Arabidopsis thaliana: one gene and its partners. The protein of the gene in region 2 purifies or fractionates together with the protein of the main gene of each other region. This does not show direct contact. Each region holds a gene or a part of one and is shown on either strand. Other genes may lie near its edges.

Region 1 (5,111 bases), on a different chromosome or scaffold from region 2:
TGATAGGAGCTTTCAAAACAACTTCAACAGACCAAATCATCGTATGTATTTCAGATTTCCTTAGAAAGAAAACTTGTGAACTTTCTATTTTTTGCTTATTTATATGATTTGATTACAGGTTGTGCTTTCATCTTGGGAATCTGTCATTGAATTTCAGCCAAGAGTGGATGATATCGTGAAATGCCCTGGCAAAGTGATGATTGTTACCGCTGCTGCTCCTCAAGGATCTCCTTTTGACTTCTGCAGTCGACTCTTTGCTCCTAAACTAGGGCTCAATGAGGTTAAGAAACTAACCTGCAACTTCGTGCATGGGAGCAATTCTCTGCTTTTTACTTGTGGTAGCCGTTACCAAAAGTGTTTACCGTTACCTTATTTGCTTGGTGCTTTTGTTCCTTCAGGACTCTGTATGTGGAAGTGCACATTGTTCATTAGCACATTACTGGAGCCTCAAGATGAACAAGTGTGATTTCGTCGCTTTTGCGGTAATTCATCTTTCTCTGTAACTAGCTAACTAACATTTCGAAGCAAGAAATAATCACACATATTAACGAATCAACGAATTTCTTTTCAGGCTTCGCAAAGAAGTGGAACACTCAAGGTTCATTATGATAAGGAGAAGCAGAGAGTCTTGCTTACCGGGAAAGCTGTGACTGTCATGAAAGGCTCTATCTTAGTTTAATCTTTCGACTCTTTGCCAAAGTCTTGAAAAATAAGGTCAAGATTTTGATTTCTCGAACTCCCCACGTTTTATCAGACTATGTAATAAAGTGATCAAGTCAATAATAAAACATATTGAGTGATGTATGTTTGGCAATAACGTTTCAAATCTCAAATTCATGAAAACTTAAAGAGATAACAAGAATTTGTCTTAGTGACACCAAATCTCACTACAAGATAGATCTTTTACAATCCTGCTGTTACAAACCAAAAAGGACCAGACTTTTGATTACTGCAAAATGCTTAACGACCACCACGGCCACGTCCACGACCTCTTCCACGACCACGTCCCCGACCTGCTGGAATCTTACCTGATACCAAAGAGAACAATAGAAAGATGAGTCTAAGCAAAAACAAAAACAAAAACAAAGGCATAGTTCAGAAAAAAGAAATGTTTTGTTACCTGCAGTTGGCTTTTTGGGTTTGATTCTTGGAGTGTCTTCAACCAGCAAAGTCTCCAGATTCAAACTGTCCGGAAGAATATAATAGCGAATGTTGTTTCCCCTGACACTTAAGTGGTCTAATGTAACTGGATTCTTCCCTTTCAGAGTGAGTTTCACAGCTTTTAAATGAGTGTTCATGCTAACATCTACACCTGCATTAAGTCATCACAAGTAGATAGTACCAGTCAGTGAGTTGATTGATAATTGCATTCTAAACAAGATGATGGCAGAAAAAGGAAACCAAACCAAACATTAACAGCAGAGACCACTTGTATTAGATCAATCAGACTAAAAGAGAAGTTGAAACAAGAAGCCACACGGTAACTGTTCTGTGAAAAATCAGAGATTTTCTTTACAAGGAAAGAGATAAGAGTGACTTTCATGTGCTAAATCTAATCATCTGCATCTGACTCGACAAGTATCACTCAGTTCTTGCTAACAAGAGGGTTACCAACAAAGCATTTCGAGGTAAAAAAATAATTAAGACTCAGCTAAACTCTAACTTCTTCAGATACTATCACTAATAACAGAATTAAGCCTCAGGATTTGTTAACAAGAGAGGTCCACAATGATAAAGAGGGAAACTAAAGTAAACTATCTCATATATAATCATGTGCTAAACTCACTCCCAGAAGAACTAAGCATTCTCATACACCCAACTATAAAGCAAAATAAAATGTATCATCTCCATCTGACTAGACCACCATTATCATTCACTTATTGCAAACAAGAGAGATTCAACACCCACAATGCATTTCTAGGTCTATTAACAGAATTACACATCAGAATTAGTAAATTCGAGAGCTCCATTGGTTACAACCATCAAAGGAGAAAGTAAACTACCTCATGGGTGATCAAAGTTTGAAGAAGAACTAAACTATCTCATAAACCTCGATTCAAGTAAAATCTAGTGTACTCATCTGCATCTGACTTGACCAGTGTCACTAGGGTTAATACCAACAAAGCATTATTAGGGGAAAGACACTAGCTAAACTCAAACTACACCATCAGAATTTGTGAATACGCGAGTAACCATCGATTACAGGTAAGCATCGTAGATTTTACACAAAACCCTAAACAGCGAATAGAGCTGGGTTTTTAAGAGAAGCGTACCAGTAATGGTTCCATGAACAATGGTTCCGTTCTTAAGCTCGATTGAAACTGTTTCGTTGTTCAATTTCATCAAAAACCTGCGAAAAAATCCAGATACGAAATCAAACATCGAAGAGCATGAAAACAAAGAGAAATCTCAAAATTTCGAAGCAAATTCCAATTAAACCGAAGAAATAAAGAGAATCCGAGTAGAAACCATACCTGACGAGCTTCATGGTGAGAGAATGAAGAAGAAGAGGAGAAAATTAGGGCTTTGAGGAGAGCTCGAAACAGCAATGGCAAGAAGCAAGAGCGGGAGGAGGAAAAGCAGCAATAGGGGAATTTATGTTTAAGTCCCCAATTATGGATTCTGCTTCACACCGACGGTCTCTTACTTCCTTGAATGTTTGGTTATACCCTATTTGTTTTGAACTTATCAATAACACCCTTCTCAACTTTTTATTGAACAAAAACAACCCCAAATGAAAGAAACAGAATAATTAACTCAAATAATCTGATTTGCGGAATCTAATCACTCACTTTAGAAATTTATCTTTTATCAATCACATTTTGTTTAGTTTTGAAAAAAAACTGTTTAAAACTTTTGTTTAGTCAAAATTAACAATACAATGATAAAAAATTTCATCATTAGCTAGCTAAATAGTAAAAAAACAAAAGGTTTTAGTATTCTTGATTCGGCCTTTTAGCCCAATAGTAACGTTGGTGTTCGAATCCAGTCATTCATCTTGGTATTGTTGATCCAATTTTTCCTAAATCCATTAATAATTGTGACAACTAAATTATGCAAATTTTTCAACTGAAAATAGGGGATATTACATTATGAATGGAATATACAGAGTCTCTTATTTGGATTTTTATTACTAATCCAATGGTGACGAAGCATACAACACAAGAATCTTTTCTTTTCTTATCAACACAAGAATCTTTTCTTTTCTTTTGTAACATCAACACAAGAATCTTTCATTTTATTTTATTTGATTCTACTTTTCCATACTAATGGTTGGGTCATCAATAAATCCATTCCTCGGGGAGAAGTTTCTCCGGCGAATCAATAGGATTTTCTGCTTCAATCTTGATAGGTGTTGTTGCCAACATTTCGCTCTTCTTCTTCGAATCATTTTCTCTAATTTCTACATTCAAAAGAAACAATGTTACCAATTTCAACCAAAATATATCTATAGTTCAAACTAATTTGTAATATATAACACAATGTATTTGAATAACGGTCGATGAGAACAAATAATGGTTGGAAAAGAACCTGGACGAGGAGAAATATGGATACCGTTGTTGTGAATGTTAAGATTGAGTGCTTGAACTACACGAGTCGGGAGAAGCACCGGTGAGCAAGCTATGACAAGAGAATTTTGTTTTCATCAATCAAAATTGTATAACATTAAATCATATATTAATGAGTCTATATAGTAAAGGCTGACTAACGTAAAAACCAACAAATCACAATTTCTTTATGTCAATTGTCCTACAAAAGCTACGAAATAGATAGAAAAAAATGGTAATAGATGTATGAATCCATGATATATTTCGTAGTAATCGAAGAATTGAGGTTTTTGTGTTTATATATGTTTAAAACAAAAAACGACAAAAAAAATCATCAAAAATTTTCAAATTCTTCTAAATTTTGTCTAGCTCTAAATCTTCAATCTCAAGAAGCAGTGGTTGTAAAAAAGTTATTTTTCTTTTGAATATAATTTGAACATTATTTTCAAAAAAAAAAAAACGACTTAACGACAAAATGTAAGTTAAAAATCATGTCAAATCAACTTTAACCTGAAACTAAAAGAATTTTAGTATATGCAGTTGGTAGAATTGATTTTATGAAATTGAAAACATTATGCACCTTTATTTGTGTTCATAAATACTTAGTATAGAGTAATTAATAAATAACCTGTTTTTTTGGTGGGTGGATGAGAAGCCGTGGCTGGAAGAAAAACTCCGGTGCCAGAAGTTGTACGGCCCGGTGTAACCAAGAAAAATGCTTGCATACGATCCTCTCCTTTACTCCTTTGCCAATTGCTTTGGTGCTTTTGTCTTGTATTATAGTTCTTCAACACACAAAAATATATATACAAAATATTTGAGCTTTAGTTTGAAAATATATAAGATATGTTTAAATACATACGTTAATGTCCATAATGATATTTCCTCCAATACCGTTAAGAGATTGTAACCAAAAAAAAGATTGAAAAGAAATACCAAAGGAAATGTTTGTCTAAGAGGAGGTGCCCCGGGCCGACGAAATTCACCGTTGCCGTGGTGATGGTGGTTCTTGACATATTTCTGCAACTATGTGAGAATTTAATTAACAACGACTTCGATATAGAATAGGAGAAAAAAATAACAAATTCAAATAGAAAAAATTTAGATATAAGATAATATAAACCTGATGTTTGTTGGAATGATCAAACAATGGATCTTGAAGAACATGATGAGAGGGTGGCCATATTTGCCTATCCTTGTGACCGATGATGTCACCCATTTGAAACTGACCAAAAAGAAACTTAAAATTTCAAAAGTATTAAACACTTTGAATTAATCTTAGAAGAAGAAGAAGAAGAACATTGAGAGAGACTCAATGGAAATGTTTCTTTGTTGACAAAAGAAAGAAGAGAAGAGGTTTTGATTGTCCCCAACTTCTGACCTGAATCTTAACTATAAATATTAATGGGTTTGGAAAGTAGAAGGAGAGATGATGACGACAAATTTGGTTTTATAGAAAACTAATTATTATGTTGACAACAAAGAAGAGTTTCAATGATTTTATTATTTGAATTTGGTTTCATCATTACTACGAGGATGAAACGAGAGTTACACACCCTTTCA
Region 2 (5,955 bases):
TCTTAGCTGGTTCTGGTTCAGCAGGCTTCTTCTTTTCCTTTTTGGCATCCTTCTCTTTTGCTGCATTTTTCTTTGGTTCCTACACGAAAAAGGACAGAGGAGAACACCAGATTCAACTAATTAAAGAGACTCACAGTCATTGAAATCAAACTTAAAAGTTAAAATAAGTACCTCTGGCTCAGTTTTCTTTGTGCCCAGCTGCGGCTGCACATCTGGCTTGTCAACAGGCTTTACACCTTCTGCAGCTTTTTTTGAATTAGAATTTGTTTCCACCTTAATGGCAGGTTTTGGTACCTACGTTTAGAATAAATGAAAAAGATCAGAAAACCATTTTCTCATCGCATGTAATACATCTGAAAAAAGTAGCATGTTATTATTGTTTCTCAGTCTAAGAAAATGGGTATGAAAAGATAATTCACCTCGAAGCTAAATTCTGGTAGCTTCACAGGTATTGGTGCAAATAATGTCGACAACTCTTCTTTATTCTGTAAAATAATACGCAGCATATATTCGTAAAGCAGACAATCACAAGGAAAGAAAAATGTGAAAGGTGATGTTCAGAGAGTGCATATCTAGCTATAGTCACTAACGCCGTTACGCGTACACATAAAGTAGTCCTCCATGGATTTACAGGCTACCTCGGCGCAATCAAGTAACAAAACTTTATGATGTCGAACTTACCTGGATGTAATTCACCCATCTTATGACATGTGGTACTTTCTCCTTGTCTGAATCTGAGAGGCCAAGCTGGGAACAGCAAGTCAAACAGATAACAGTTAGTATTTAATACCTTTAGTCATCAGTTTATGAAAATTTGATCGTAGCATCTTTATCAAGTAACATAAAATTACTTATACAGGAACGAAAAATAAGTAGACTACGGAATATAGAGAAGTGGTACCACTGAAGAATGCAGAGCTGAAAACACAGCAACATCAGCTGCCGATGGCGTCAATCCGTTTCCCAAGAGCACTGACTTGGTAGCTAACTCTAAATTCAACTTTTCAAGAGCTGAAAACCAATCCTTTGAATCTGAAGAGAAACCTTCCGCAAAATCTAGCCACTTCAAAACCTGAAATAGGTTTTTACTCTTTAAAATGTGAAACAATGACGCATTATGCAAACGAAAGCCAACGAATCCTCATCATTTAGCATTACACAGAACTCAAACATACTAATTCATTTTTTTTCTAACGTGGTAGCAACGAGAAGGGAACTCAATAAATTCCCAGTAAGAGTTTGGCGTTTATGTCTATAGGAACCAAATTCAAGAAGAAACGACTTACATCGTTGTTTTGTGCAGATACTTCCTTTCCAGATGCCTTCAATACATTAGAATAAAGTGTCTTGATATCACTTTCACCCGCTCCGCCCACAAAAGGTTCCTAAACAAATGAATCAAATCAATTTCAGAAACAGAACCAATAAATCATCACAATGTAAAATCATAAAAGCCAATTTCTAAAGTTTTTTCCTTTTTCATGACCAGCTTGATGCATAAGCGTAAACACTGATAAGTCCAAAACATAAACTTTCTAATTGATTTCAGTACCCAATCAGATAATGTTCGAGTTTTCTCCACTAACTAATTCAAAAAATGATCATACACATACTCAGCTACCAAGCAAAACCTCACAAAAAAGCAGAAGCTTTTGAGATGTCATCTTCTTCAATACTTACAGGATCCAAAGAGAAGTGTTTGCAGAGAGCTGAAAGAATCATCTGCTTCGCCTTTGAATCCATCGTCAACTTCTTCTCTTTCTCTATTTTCGAAATTTTGTTCTTCTCTTTGGGGCTCTTCGCTGTAAGAAAACACACTGCAATTTCTTCGATAGGGTTTTTGCTTGATGTAACTAACGGTCCTAACGGACTTCCAACTAACGGCGTTATCTCCATCTATAATGGGCCTAGATATATTAGCAGCCCATTAATATGTTCTTACTATGGGCTTTACCACCGAAAGCAATCATTAATAAAATAAAATAAATGAATTAACTTCTCAGATTCTTCAAAGACCTAGAGTGTCTTCGTCTTCGACGACGGCAAATTCGTGGAAGCTGTTTCATCGATTCCGGCTTCACTGAAGCGGCGTCGCTCGACGTTTATTATTCCGACGACTAGGCCTTTGAGGCAGTTTCTGATTAACTTCAGGCGATAATGGCAAACAGAACAGATCCGTTGGCAAAGAATATAAGAGGAACGAATCCGCAGAATCTGGTAGAGAAGATTGTGCGAACGAAGATTTATCAGCACACCTTTTGGAAGGAGCAGTGCTTTGGTCTCACGGCGGAGACATTGGTGGACAAAGCTATGGAGCTCGACCATCTAGGTGGTACCTTTGGTGGTAGCCGCAAGCCTACTCCGTTCCTTTGCCTCATATTGAAGATGCTTCAAATCCAGCCTGAGAAGGAAATTGTCGTGGAGTTCATAAAAAATGATGACTACAAGTAAGATTTCTAACCAAAAGCTTATTTCTGCGTAATCTAGATTGGATACTGCTATTAGCCTTGTCGTAGTTGTTTCTCAAGTATACAGGTATGGAATGTCTCTCAAATCTATTGGTCTTAGATAATCTACTCTCTTAGTTTCTGCAGATATTTGTTCTTGAATTACTGAAATATTTACTCTTTTGGTTTCTGCAGATATGTTCGTATTCTTGGTGCGTTCTATCTGCGTCTCACTGGGACTGATGTTGATGTCTATCGCTACCTCGAACCTCTCTACAATGACTACCGGAAAGTGAGACAAAAGTTATCTGATGGGAGTAAGTTTCATTTTCTTTCGATGGATCCGTTGTGTTTAACTTTTGATTGATTTGTTCACTAACTAGATTTATTTCTTTGGTTTGGAATAGAGTTTTCGCTGACACATGTGGACGAAGTCATTGAGGAACTTCTAACCAAGGATTATTCTTGTGATATTGCAATGCCACGTTTGAAGAAAAGGTTTCTTCTTTTGCATTTGTCTGAAGCTGAATAATTAGTTTTTGGTTTCTGCAGTATTTTAAGATGGTTAATTTTTCACTCTGATGATAGGTGGACGCTTGAACAGAATGGTTTATTAGAGCCAAGGAAAAGTGTTTTGGAAGACGACTTTGAAGAAGAGGAAGAAAAGGAGGAGAATGAAGGGATTGCTGATGGATCTGAAGATGAGATGGTCAGTGCTTTCATTCTGCAATAGTTTTTATGTGATCTGTTTTCTGTTTCTATCTAGCAGCTCTAAGATGATACCATCTTCCTCCTCTTTTACAGGATCAGCGCCGTAAGAGTCCTGAAAGAGAAAGAGAAAGAGACAGAGACAGGAGACGCGACAGTCATAGACACAGGTATCTGAATCCGTGACCTTTACTAGATACATTTCTATGCTAGTTAACATTTTTCAAAAAAAAATTCTTTGTGATTGTGGAAGCTGTTTGATCTAGCTAATGCTCTTGCATCATGTCTAGTACTCTGTCTTTTGAGTGTCTGTTTCCACTATGGCATCTCAAGCCATCAGCGGTTGGATACAGCTTCCGAAATTAAATTTGTAGAGATCCTTCCAGGTTTCTCTGTACTGACAGTGTTCAGAGAGAAGTATTATGGATCAGACATTATTACAATCCTTACCCTGATACAGTATATGGTAGTTGTCATTGTGTTACTTTGAAAAAGATCAGTTAATCATGAGAGCACTTCCCATCTAGTTTTTAGCTCAATCAATGTTTTCTTTTTGTTACAGATTTTCATTATGATTGATGTTGAGACTTGAGCTCATTGTTTCATGAATTATAATTTGACCATGGTTCTGTGATTGGCAGGGATCGTGATTATGACAGAGACTATGATATGGATCGAGATCATGACAGAGACTATGAAAGAGAACGTGGGCATGGTCGAGACCGGGATAGGGAGAGAGACAGGGATCACTATAGAGAGCGAGATAGGGACAGGGAAAGAGGCAGAGATAGAGAACGAGACAGAAGAGACAGGGCAAGGCGCAGAAGTAGAAGCAGGAGTAGGGATCGTAAGAGACATGAAACTGATGATGTGCGGGATCGGGAAGAACCTAAGAAAAAGAAAGAAAAGAAGGAGAAGATGAAGGAAGATGGAACCGATCATCCAAATCCTGAAATTGCAGAGATGAATAGACTGAGAGCATCACTGGGAATGAAACCCCTCAGGGACTGAACTGTGAAATGAGGACATCTTTATCAAACCGAAACTTGGTTCATTTGCCCAGCTAAACCGGTTACTACACTGTGATCCTACTCACTATAGTTTTGGTTTTTTTGAGTTTACCTGATCCCTCTTTAATGTAGAACAAAATGGAGAATCTGTAATGGCATTGTACTGTATGTTCTCTAAACCGTAAACGAATTGTGGTCGAGAAATTCTGAATGTAACCCGGTTCTTGATATTAGTTGTTTTTAAGGTAATTCAGATAAATATAAAAACCTATATGTTATGTCTACGTGGCGATATCACTTTATGAGTCCATGTAAATCGGACCCACCAAAAGCTTATAGGTAAATGATACGGTTTCATAATCATTAACCATCACGACGCGCGTGCTACTCATGTCCCACTTACGACGACGTCGTTTTAAACTCTCTCTCTGTGCTCTTCCAGTCTCTATCGATCGCCTTCTGAATTTTCCGGCGGAAAAGCAAATGTCCGTTAACGACAGTATCGATCCTCGGTTCGTATTCCACGTTGAAGATGAATCTTTGCGTTTCCGTGTGGGAGATTCAGGTACTAAGATCCGGGAGCTCGAAACCGTCGGCGATCGCCATTTCAGAACCCAGCAAGGTTTCTGCGGAAATAGAATTGAGAAAGATGAAACCATGTATTCCGATGGAGATGATGAAGAGTACGACGTTTCTATCCGAAGACGAACTGCTCTGATTCAGCCTGGTATTGATTCCGGTAACAATTATGATTCTGCTGCAGCTGAAGAAACCAACAGAGAAAGTAAAAATCCAGGTATAATAATACTCTACATTACTTCTTTCACGACTACCGGAGATTCCAAGATTGTTGAAGCTAACGAAAAATTCTTTGGTTTTACTTAAGCTCAGTTGGTTGGGAACTGGTTGTGAGAGAAGATGGGGAAGGTAATTCAACGATTGATCGACATGAAATGGAGTTTAAGGTGAGGATCACTAAACCAGATGGTAACGTATCTAATTCCCACCGTAACACGCAACAAAAGCGAGATTTTGCTTCTGTGGAGAAGGAGAGAGTCACTACTACTAGTGTCAGCTCTTGGGAGTCTCTCAAGGCCATCCTCTCTGATCCTGTCACGTAAGTTTGTTAAGTCTGCTTGTCAATGGTCAGGGAATTTGATAACTAAGATCAGTTTAATTTTTGAATCTGAGTCAATGTCAATGTAACCTTGATGATTATTGTTGTGTGATGGAAAGTGTATCGTCTAGAAGGCTAATTCTTGTTAACATTCATAGAGATGATTTTTCTTTTCTGTTACTTTGGTTTGGATAGCGGAGCCTTGATGAATGATGCTACCATACTGCCTTGTGGACATTCTTTTGGCGCCGGGGGATTAAAAGAAGTTAAAAAAATGGTATATGACTGACTCTTAACCAGTCCATTTAATAAGGGTCTTCTTGCTTTTGTCTCATGTGAATCTTAATAATCTGAGTTTTGGTAATTTTTGTTGTTAGAAAGCATGTTTCACATGTTCCCAACCTACTTTAGAAGGATCAGAAAAGCCAAATCTCTGTGAGTTTCACGGCATTACTAGTTTCAGAGAAAGACTTCTATTCTTCTTCCTGATCAAGTTTATTGGCTTGTTCAGCTCTCAGAATTGTAGTTCATGCTTTCCGCCAAGAAGAAGATTCAGATCATATTCACACGCTGAAAAGAAGGAAAGAAAGGTCGGATCAGGTTTGTTTTTCCAATACACAGTAATCATGTGAGATTACATTAACAGTGAGAAATCAGATAAGCAGAGTTTCTT
Region 3 (4,692 bases), on a different chromosome or scaffold from region 2:
AGACTTTTAACGCATCTGTTCTATTCATTGTTATGCACAACTGGATGATGAACAAACAAAACTTATTAATCATCATAATTGACATATCGACTCAAAAATTATTAAGTCTTTTGCCATACATGTCTAAAACTACCAGGCAACGGTGTAGTAAACAAATATTATTTGTGTTGTTTACCATTATTTAATCAATTTATTTTGACCCAGTCAAATAACTATTTCATCTAATTTTTTGACTCAATCAAATAAAGATTTTTGTTAGGCTTTTTAAAATTAAAAAATTGGTAATAAGCTCGTACGAATCGGCAACTAGAACCAATAAAACACGTAAGGACCGAAGATATGAACCTGACAACGATATTCAAACTATCGGATTCCGTTGTGTGAGACAACGACTCATGGAACAAATGAATATATAAAATCGATCCTTATTTATATTTCCTCTAATTTGTGATCGAAGAAGACACAAAAAAGTTCGGAGCAAACTCCCATCAAACAAATCACGCGGATTCTCAGAAGACAATAACATGAAGGTATGTCTCCTGTGTACTCAACAACAAGTAATAACTTCGATTCTCTTGTGAAAGAGAGAGACTTCTCTTTGTGATGTTAAGGAGTTCTCTTATTGTACTCAGCAAAAGATCCTGATAAGAATTGCTATGACTGATGACACAACTCGAGCAAAGGCAATGAAAACTGCGGTTCAGTTTAAAGGTAACAATGATACAAACACTAGAGAACTTGATGATTGTAATTCTTGTTGAATCTAAAGATTTATCGCATTGGTTTATAGGCGTGAACGCTGTGGAAATAAAGGGAGATCACAGGAACCAGATTGAGGTGACCGGTGTTGAAGTCGATATGATTGCTCTAATCAACACACTCAGGAAAAAAGTTGCATTTGCGGAGCTTGTTAGCGTAGCTAAAGTTGAACCACCTAAGGATGGTGACAAAAAGCCAGAAGAAGAAAAGAAACCCGAAGAGAAGAAACCCGAAGAGAAGAAACCTGAAGAGAAGAAACCTGAGCCATGTTGTCAACCATGGCAAAAACCTGAGCCATGTTATCAACCATGGCCTCATGATGGATATGGTGTGCCATCTTCCTATCCCTACCCGTGTGATCCCTACAATCAGATCGGGGAACCCGTTTACAATCAAGATCCCAATTGCAGGATCATGTGAGATAGGTTTCATGTGGAAGATTAACGGAGGAGATAGCAGTTTTTCTATACTAAGATTGTCAACATGTTAATGCAATTTGATAGTCAGATTTGTTAAATGAATAAAAAGTCTTGAGCTATCAGTATCACACAAATTCTCTACTTGTAGATGCTCTTATAACATGTAAAGCCAAATCTTGTTATCCATGGAATTCCATTACAAAGTAACTCCTTACTAGAGCATCAATCATACTATTTCTCAATCAAATCTTTCCTTTGCCAGAGTTGCTAGTTACATAACTCGTACATTCTCCTAAAAATTAAACTCACAAACCTTCAACATGTTCCAGAGCGCTGCTACATCTAACGACCTCTGCCGCGACCACGCCCACGGCCACGTCCGCGACCGCGTCCAACAGCTTTCCCTAAAGAAGAAAGAAAGAGAGAACGAATAAATGGACTGATAAAGAAGTCTTTTAGCTTATGAAGACGAATATTACAAACACCAAAAATGAATGAAGCAGTACCAGCAACAGGCTTCTTAGGTTTAACTCTAGGAGTGTCTTCCACAAGTAAAGTCTCGAGGTTCAAGCTATCAGGAAGAATGTAGTAGCGAATATTATTACCCCTCAAGCTAAGATGATCAAGTGTTACTGGGTTTTTCCCCTTCAGGCTCATCTTCACTGTCTTCAAGTGAGTGTTCATGCTCACATCAACACCTGCCCAAATCATCAAGCTTAAACTTCAATAAATATACCTTTATGACTACTGGCTCTAACTGTGTGTTTACTCAACCTATTCATGTGATCACAAGGACGCGATTAGGGCCAATTGAAAATAAGGGAACAGATCGCGACTTGTATAAGACCTAGCAACGGAGAAATCGAGAGAGAAGAAAAGATGAGAAGAGCTACAAAGAAACCGGAAGCTAACAATAAGAACTTACCAGTGATGGTTCCATGGACCACAGTCCCATTCTTCAGCTCGATAGACACAGTTTCATTGTTTAACTTCATCAAAAACCTACTCGATCCAATCAAAACCATATAACACAAATCAGCTCAGGCTCAATATTGGGAATGGATTCCATGCCAGGAGCTAACTAAGATTAAGAACAACATGAATTTTCTAAAGAAAAGAAGAACTGAGAACGAAACAGTACCTGACGAGCTTCATCTTTGGATGCGAAGAAAGAACAACCAAACAAAGAAATTGACGAGGAAACAGCGAAAGGTGTGAAAACCCTCAAAACCCTTCTTTCGCTGTGAGAGACCTCACGATGGAGCGGGTACAGATCCGATTCCGGTTTTGGATCCATCAGCTAAATTACAATATTGGGCCCAAAAATGTAGTAAGGCCCATAAAGTCCAATGGTGGACCAGTAGATGTTTCAACCAGAAATCTACATACAGTTGGTTCAGCAAACCGGAAATTGAACACGAAACGTTAATTTCGGAAAGGCGTAATAAAAGCGCGCGAGAGGTTGATAAACACGCGTCGAAGAATTCGCGCGTGAAGATTGAACGACTTCAGACGAGAAGACGCTTTTCAACGTTCTCTATGCGTTAAACAGTTGACTGTTGACAGATCTCCTCCGGTAGAGAGAGAGAGAGAGAGAGAGAGAGTTCTCTGAAAAAACTGCGTAAATCCTAACTCGTCAATGGCGGATTCGAGCTCCAATCAGAATCGATACACTCCTCCTAATCAAAGGTAACTTCTTCTTCTTCTTCTTCAGTGGTCTTTGATCTGCTGATTTCGAGTGTTCTTTATTCTACTGATTTCGCTACTCCGTTCTTACCTTTCGATGTTGCTTCTCCGTGTCACAGGAAGGCTTCTGGGAATCGCCGGAAGTCGGGAGGTATGTGAGCTCTCTCTCTCTCTCTCTGTCTTCTTTGCCTCAGTCGTTCTTTATTGATTCTTAATCAATTCGGTTCTTAATTCCGAGAGTATCTAGTTCTGTGGAGATTATAGCTTAGATCAAAGATTGTCGATGAATAGAAGTAATCTTGTTTTGTAGATTCAGGAATTGATTGCATGCGAATCTGTACACATTGTGTTTGTGCATAGTTGGTAACTTCAAGAACCGTTTCTAAGAAAGTGAATTATTAGGAGTTTAGCCTGAAATTCAGATCTCGCTCTCTCTTTATTAGCAAATCCGCTGGTTGATTCATTTCTCCATGTGTGTACTTGACCCATTTGTTTGCCTGTTTTCTTGAAAATAAATCGTCGTTCAAGCTATATCTGGTTTTGCTAGTATGCTATGGTTCTTGGCTAAATAAAGAGTGAAATGCAGATCGAACAAGTAGCCAACAGAACAACGATAATGAGAGAAATCAGCCTCCTGCTACTGGTCTTCAGATGGAAAACATATCCCAGACCCAGAGGATAATAACAATAAAGGACTGCTCCAGGAGTGCAGCTTATCAGCTCATGAGCCAACGTATAAATCTGAACTATCTCTTTAAACATTTAGCTGGTTTATTCTTTGCTCTGTATCACTATCTGGTCGTTCTTCTATCAACTGTTGCTATGCTAAGCATTTGTTGAGTCAGTGCTAGTTTTAGAAATCTTTGAACTTAATAGATAAGGTGTGTTGAATTCACTGCTTATGCAGTCAGTTTTATGTACTTGTCTTATTTACGTGCTCTTGATTTGTCATGAACAGGATGGGCAGCTGAAATGCATCAATACGACGACCCAACTGTGGATCTATCTGGTGAGATTAAGGGATTCTAAGTTTTCCTTTGTCCTTTGTGTCTATTATACTTGTGCTGCTTGAGTTGCCTCCAAATACAATCAGATATATCTATGTTCTTATCTGGATCTCTGTCTTCCGGTTAGTCAAGTATAACTGATTTTCAAGTTTGCCTACTTTCTCTGTTTCACAGTGCGACCAATCATGTACTATGGAGGGAGTGTTTGGGGTAAACTACCTCATCAGGTGGAACTAACTTCAAACTCTTATCATATGCTTCTAGTTTTTCTAAAGATGTGAGTACATGAATGATGAGACCCCATCTCTTGTTTTGTGTCAAAACAATTACAGATCCTGGCTGCAGCAAACAAGACATTACCTCCTCCATCGCCAACGGATTACATGACTGAAGTGCGGCGAGGATTGCTGATGCCAAAAGCCAACAATTGAATGGTTCTTGTTCAGATGATGGAGCCCATATAGACTAGTGAAATGGTGTTTGTTGAGATGGCACAAGCGGTGGTATGTCAATGACTTTTATATTGTGTGTGTGTAGGATAACAGATATTGCTTTTGTCAGGATCGGTTGTTTTCTCTGGTCCCTGAAAGTGTAAAAAACCCAAACCAGAGATTTGAGTAACAATCACGTTACCATCTCATTTTAGCTTAACTGGATTACAAATTCATTGCTCCTTTCATCTGTCTTACAAAGTTTGGTTTTGAATTAGACGGGAAATAGACCGTCTAGCTAATAGAAGCCAGTTGTTACAAAATTTATGTGAATCCAAGTACTAAAAGTAATAACACCAAAAAGGCAAATGTATAGTAGTACATACTATT
Region 4 (5,474 bases), on a different chromosome or scaffold from region 2:
CTTAAAGTGATTGACGGCGCGTAAGATCTAATTTCGTTATTTTTTAAGACAAATGAAATGGGCTTTTTACCGAACATTACATATGTAGGCTTGCTTGCAGCAGACACGACCCATTTCAGCCCAAGTTTTTTTTTTTTTTTTTGGTTTTGAACAAATCATCCGCTTTTTAGTCCACTGGTTAATCAGAGAAATTAGGGGATGTATTGAATTTTGAAGTATTTTGTAAGAGTTTGATTTATTTCCAACTCCATGTCATTCTTCTTTTTAGTATGTTATTCATGTTACATGTTATTCAAATATGATTTTTAAAATGTCTTCCTAAATCTTATGATATTCAAATTCAATAACTATGTTACTACAATTTTTTCTTGGACAAATATGTTATGAGACTTTTAGATACATTTTAGTTATAAATATGAATCAAATACATTTTAGTTCTAGAAGAAAAAACCAGATCTATAAAGTTTGTTATTAAAAGATAGAGAGAGAGGAGGGATGTAGTAGGCCAATAGGCAAATCAGAGAATCACAAATGGTATCTGGTCAAGAAGATTCCTGGTTAAAACTTTCATCTCTCTGTTTCCTTTTTCTTTCTTTGTTGGATTCATTAATTTGACATATCTCTATCATCACACTGATTCTCTTTCTCCCAGTTTGTCTGCAGATGCATGTGTGTAATCTAGGGTATATGTTTTTGTCCATTTGGTTTCATAAGGCAATAAAGATCCAGCTATTTACTACTTGTGGTATAGATTTTGACTGTTGAATTTTCAGATCTGATGTGTTTCGTTTGATCCGATTCGGAAAATTTATGTTTCGTTGACATTTTGGAGTTTAGTTGGAAGAAGAGTGAGAGTCGCTGGAGGCAGCGGTTCATCGATCTCTTCCTGTGAACACATTAAAAATGTAAAAGCATGAATAGATCGATAAACCTCTGCATCCAGCGTTTGCCTCTTGTATCTTTCTTATTGACTTGAATCTTTTTGTTTATTGGTTTTTGAAAGAAGAAAAAAGTGAGGGAAAACAGAGTCAAGTCCGATTACTTTTCTGGGAAAGCTGAGGATTTTGTGTTCTTAGAGAGCAGATGAAGAGGTGACTGTTGTTTCTGGTGAGAATTCGACCTCTTTAGTTTGTTTGTTTTTTCAGTTAATGAAGTGCTTGTTATTGAAGTGTGTAGTTGACTGATAAGCGCCTTAGCTTTATCTTAATGTTTATCAAGTAGATTTGGCGTTGGATAATTAAAAAGAAGTTCAGATTCTTGTAGGTTGCTTACTTCGTCTGACCAAACAATGTTCCTGAAAAAGTGTTGTGTTTTGTTTCATGTATCAAAAAGTCTAGCTTCAAAATTTTCTTGCTTTTTTCCAACATGCAAGATTTCTCTTTATAAATCGGTACATTTGTAGGTACAAATCGGTACAAATTTGCCATTGTATAAATCGGTACAAATTTTCCTGTGTTCTTGTAACAATGCCCTTTATACATTTGTAGGTGAGATAGAAGTTGGCATCTAAATTTGCTTTCTCTGGACCAGTGAAATCAATTGCAGTCTCCTATATATTGTAGTAGGCGATGTATCAGTGGTGAAGCGAGGATGACATCTGTGGGTACTTGTTCTTAATCCTTCACTCTGATATCTATGCTTTAGAAGCGTTTCAAGTTCATGAAGCTGATTTGATGTTGAGTTTTTAACAACAAGAATCAATTCACTCCAAAAATATGTAAACTCTGCCATGCCTTGAGCTGCTTTTTGGATTATCCACTGTTTTGTTTTGTGATTAAGTTCATTATTTTCTACTATATATGATGAAACCGAAAATTGTTAATTGCTAACGCAAACACTGATCTCCATCCCCATGATATTCCTACGTACTTATTGACCCGACAATGACATTCAAGCTCCAAACATCAATCTTCACTTATGGCTTTTTGTTAGTTGTTTGTACATTTCCTCAAGCAAGTTAGAAACACGTTTTGGTAATAGAATCATACTGTTTTTTGGTAATATATATAGATAATGGATGTCATGGATAAAGCAAAATCACTTGGTGAAGTTTTTAAAAAAGTCTTTTCATCTGAGCATCCGATAAAAAACCTCATACTAATCGTTGGAATTTATTTGCGAGAATGTGGTTAAATAACATTCACCAGCTACAGTAACTAACATTATCTTAAGGAAAATTTGATTTTTTTTTTTTTTTTTGGTCGGATTTGATTTTTTTGATTTTCAAGCTAAACAACATACAATATCTCAAAGTCAAAAGTCAATGAATGTAGCAAATCTTAGTCTGTATGAAGGCCCAAATAATTGGGCCATTATATGCAACCAGTTTACCTCATTAACAAGCCCATATGAAATTAGGGTTCCTATATTTTACTGGTCAATAATACACTTCTCTATAAAAACCCTAACACTTCTGGTCATATAACAACCGCCTAAACCCTAGTTTTTTCCGCCACACTCTTCCGCCATTATTTTTGTTACTTGGAGCTAGCTAGCTAAAAAATATGGGAAGCGATACCGAAGCAGAGAAGTCGATTCAAAAGGAGAAGAAGAAGTACGCTATTACTCTTGCTCCTATCGCTAAACCTCTCGCCGGCAAAAAACTCCAGAAGAGAACTTTCAAACTCATTCAAAAAGGTACCAATCTCAGTTCCAAGCTCGCTTCACATCTCTCTATCTTCTTTATTTCTCATTATATATTGATTAGTAGCTCATGTTGGTGTATTGCTCTGTAATTTTTGTCAGCTGCTGGGAAGAAATGTTTGAAGAGAGGAGTTAAAGAAGTGGTTAAGAGCATAAGACGAGGCCAGAAAGGGTTAGTTTTTTCATTCTTTGTCTTTTTATTGAGTGTGATTTATGATTGTTTTGTGTTGCAGATGGCTTAGCTGATGTATATGTGTTGATGTTTTGTGTTATTAATTGATTAGTTGATGTTATTGTCCTGCAAATTGCTTAGTTAGTTTTGAAATCCGTGTACAAATAAGCCGATGCTCTGGATTAAAGTAATGAATGTAGCATGGTACTGTACACGGAAACTGAACTATGGATCGACATGTCTGCCATCTCTGATTTTTTCCCTGATTAGACGGCCTGGTTTAGATCCACATTCTCTGTTTGTGTTGTGATTATGTTTGTGAAAACGGTAACATGTTCTTCTATGATCATTCATGATGTTATCTACTAGTGTAAGCTCTTTATTTAGCTGATTTTGAAAGCCGTCTACAATTAAGCCGATGCTCTGGATTAAAATAGAATGAAGGAAGCATGGTACTGTGCACGGAAACTAAACTATAGATCGACATGTCTGCCATCTCTGATTTTTCGTGATGAGACGGCCTGGTTTAGATCTACATTCTCTGCTTTTTGTTACTTATTATGTTTGTTTTCATTGATGTTATGATAGTTGTTTGCATAGTTGATGTTATATCCGTGTACAATTAAGCCGATGCTCTGGATTAAACAGAATGATTGTAGCATGGTACTGTGCACGGAAACTGAATCATGGGTTTCAAATGTCTGTGCCTGCTCTGAGTTCCTTATTGGTTCTTTGATTTGCGGGCCTGATTTGAACCCACATTTTTACATTTCTAATTGTTTTTTCCTTCTTCTACGCAAACAGTAAATTCTTTTATGTTTTGAATGTTGTATCTGATGTGATACGTTTGTGTTTGTGCAGATTATGTGTAATAGCTGGAAACATTTCACCTATTGATGTTATTACTCATCTTCCAATCTTGTGTGAGGAGGCTGGTGTTCCTTATGTATACGTTCCTTCAAAAGAAGTAAGCCAATTTTCTTTCTTGATTTCTATCATCTTACCAATTAATCGGTTTTGTGGTGCTAAGATATTCAATATTTTTTTTATGAAATTCAGGATCTTGCGCAAGCAGGGGCAACGAAACGACCAACATGTTGTGTCTTGGTAATGCTTAAACCTGCGAAAGGAGATTTAACTGCAGAAGAACTTGCAAAGTTAAAGACAGACTACGAACAAGTCTCTGACGATATTAAGGAGCTAGCAACTTCTGTAATCTGATTAGAAACTAGAATGGGTGTTCCTCTTGTGCTTTTGATGGTTAATGAATATCATCATATTTACGGCATCGGATATTACTTTGGACTATTTAAGGTTTTTGATATTGTAGCGCTAATCGATTGTAAAAGTTTGAATCATGAATCCTATGGTTTCATCTGGTTAGTGCTCTCTTTATGGCGTTTTTTTAAATCTCCTCCTTACGTGTTTAGTCATTGTCTCCTTACGTGGTCAGTACTTAGTCATGTCTTCGTGCTATCGATTGGTTATTACATCATTATTTATTATACAGACTAATTTAGTTTTTGTTAATAATCAACATTAAGTTATACACAACTTTTATTTGGCATAGCTATATATCTTTTTGAATTGTTATGTTAGAAGTTTGTTGAAATGAAAGATTACGGTTGAAATGACAATAAAAACAAGAAAAGAAAAAGAAAAATATCAAAACAACTTTTGTCGTGTTTGGGTCACTAGATTGGGTTTAGGATTCCGATTCTGCTCGCCTCTGGATTCTGATTCCGCTCACCACTAATAGTGGGGTCGTGCCCGGTCGTGTAATGAGCATAAGTTTCAGTCGAATAGTTAAAAAGATGGGGTCCAACTGTAAGAAAATATATTCTATACGGGTCTCTTAAGAAAACTGAGAAATTGTTTCGGAATCTTTTTGTGTACCTTTCTTTTTTTTTCTCTTCTTGGTCAGAAAAAGAAGTATTAGGAATCAATAACGCATACGGTATACACATCAGTTTAAAGCTTACATCTGACTTCTCTCTCACAAAAACATCGTGAAGAATGGAGGAGTCACGAGAATCGCCGGCGGAACACGGCTACTACATGCCGGCGGAATGGGATTCTCATGCTCAAACTTGGATCGGTTGGCCTGTAATTCTCTATCTCTCTTCCTCTTTTCTTTTTTTTTCATGTTTTATTCATTAACCTGAGATAAAGTAAAAATTGACGGCGATTCTGGAGAACTCAATCTCGCTGTTCAAAAATCAAACTTCGATTTCGATTTTGTCCTTTTTTTTTTTTTATATGGATCCTGCTCGTAGTTTATCATTGTTCGAATTGCTGTTTTCTGTTTATTTGATGATTTCTCTGCTTCCTGGTTCGTTTTTGTAGAGTTTCCGATAAATTTTGTATAGCTTCTGTATGTCAAGTTAGCATCTAGATGTGACATGAGATGAGATCTTTTACATTGCAATCTATCATGGTTACAGATTCTGCAACCAAATCAGAATTTAAAGCATTTTCAGTTAGGTTGTTTGTTTCGATTTGTTTCATCACTGAATACATGAATCAAACCTCAAACCACTTTTGTGATTTTGAAATCTGGATTATAATTCTGTCATAATATGGCTGCAGGAACGGCAAGATAACTGGCGGCACAACGCTTTACCCGCACAACGAGTGTTTGCAGATGTTGCAAAGGCCA

The links.
Region 1: the proteins of AT2G40650 (region 2) and AT4G02840 fractionate together in Arabidopsis thaliana (co-fractionation; one large-scale study listed by BioGRID). This does not show direct contact.
Region 3: the proteins of AT2G40650 (region 2) and AT3G07590 fractionate together in Arabidopsis thaliana (co-fractionation; one large-scale study listed by BioGRID). This does not show direct contact.
Region 4: the proteins of AT2G40650 (region 2) and AT5G08180 fractionate together in Arabidopsis thaliana (co-fractionation; one large-scale study listed by BioGRID). This does not show direct contact.

The regions. Positions count from the first base shown.
Region 1 is NC_003075.7:1,262,103-1,267,213, reverse strand, and holds AT4G02840 (Small nuclear ribonucleoprotein family protein), read right to left. Parts: upstream 2,588-5,111; 5' UTR 2,489-2,587; coding exon 2,475-2,488; intron 2,351-2,474; coding exon 2,274-2,350; intron 2,081-2,273; coding exon 2,051-2,080; intron 1,313-2,050; coding exon 1,121-1,312; intron 1,029-1,120; coding exon 961-1,028; 3' UTR 755-960; downstream 1-754. Other genes in the region: AT4G02850 (phenazine biosynthesis PhzC/PhzF family protein), read left to right, coding at 1-41, 119-280, 399-482, 572-679; AT4G02830 (uncharacterized protein), read right to left, coding at 3,282-3,403, 3,532-3,621, 4,177-4,333, 4,485-4,574, 4,672-4,767. UniProt on the Arabidopsis thaliana protein: Involved in splicing regulation.
Region 2 is NC_003071.7:16,961,799-16,967,753, reverse strand, and holds AT2G40650 (PRP38 family protein), read left to right. Parts: upstream 1-1,955; 5' UTR 1,956-2,157; coding exon 2,158-2,447; intron 2,448-2,642; coding exon 2,643-2,764; intron 2,765-2,854; coding exon 2,855-2,945; intron 2,946-3,035; coding exon 3,036-3,156; intron 3,157-3,251; coding exon 3,252-3,325; intron 3,326-3,796; coding exon 3,797-4,166; 3' UTR 4,167-4,468; downstream 4,469-5,955. Other genes in the region: AT2G40660 (Nucleic acid-binding, OB-fold-like protein), read right to left, coding at 1-79, 172-294, 420-485, 682-747, 902-1,072, 1,287-1,385, 1,681-1,743; AT2G40640 (RING/U-box superfamily protein), read left to right, coding at 4,556-4,961, 5,057-5,282, 5,478-5,559, 5,660-5,717, 5,794-5,882. UniProt on the Arabidopsis thaliana protein: Probably required for the first pre-mRNA cleavage reaction catalyzed by the spliceosome.
Region 3 is NC_003074.8:2,420,787-2,425,478, reverse strand, and holds AT3G07590 (Small nuclear ribonucleoprotein family protein), read right to left. Parts: upstream 2,429-4,692; 5' UTR 2,334-2,428; coding exon 2,320-2,333; intron 2,181-2,319; coding exon 2,104-2,180; intron 2,026-2,103; exon of another isoform or gene 1,890-2,025; coding exon of another isoform or gene 1,877-1,889; coding exon 1,685-1,876; intron 1,583-1,684; coding exon 1,521-1,582; 3' UTR 1,492-1,520; downstream 1-1,491. Other genes in the region: AT3G07600 (Heavy metal transport/detoxification superfamily protein), read left to right, coding at 525-530, 633-711, 791-1,179; AT3G07580 (uncharacterized protein), read left to right, coding at 2,818-2,867, 2,984-3,015, 3,451-3,597, 3,823-3,873, 4,046-4,098, 4,204-4,302. UniProt on the Arabidopsis thaliana protein: Involved in splicing regulation.
Region 4 is NC_003076.8:2,630,405-2,635,878, reverse strand, and holds AT5G08180 (Ribosomal protein L7Ae/L30e/S12e/Gadd45 family protein), read left to right. Parts: upstream 1-2,028; 5' UTR 2,029-2,200; exon of another isoform or gene 2,201-2,443; 5' UTR 2,444-2,504; coding exon 2,505-2,637; intron 2,638-2,745; coding exon 2,746-2,815; intron 2,816-2,955; exon of another isoform or gene 2,956-3,109; intron 3,110-3,213; exon of another isoform or gene 3,214-3,355; intron 3,356-3,462; exon of another isoform or gene 3,463-3,579; intron 3,580-3,676; coding exon 3,677-3,782; intron 3,783-3,874; coding exon 3,875-4,036; 3' UTR 4,037-4,363; downstream 4,364-5,474. Other genes in the region: EMB1873 (porphyromonas-type peptidyl-arginine deiminase family protein), read left to right, coding at 4,832-4,921, 5,405-5,474. UniProt on the Arabidopsis thaliana protein: Required for ribosome biogenesis. Part of a complex which catalyzes pseudouridylation of rRNA. This involves the isomerization of uridine such that the ribose is subsequently attached to C5, instead of the normal N1.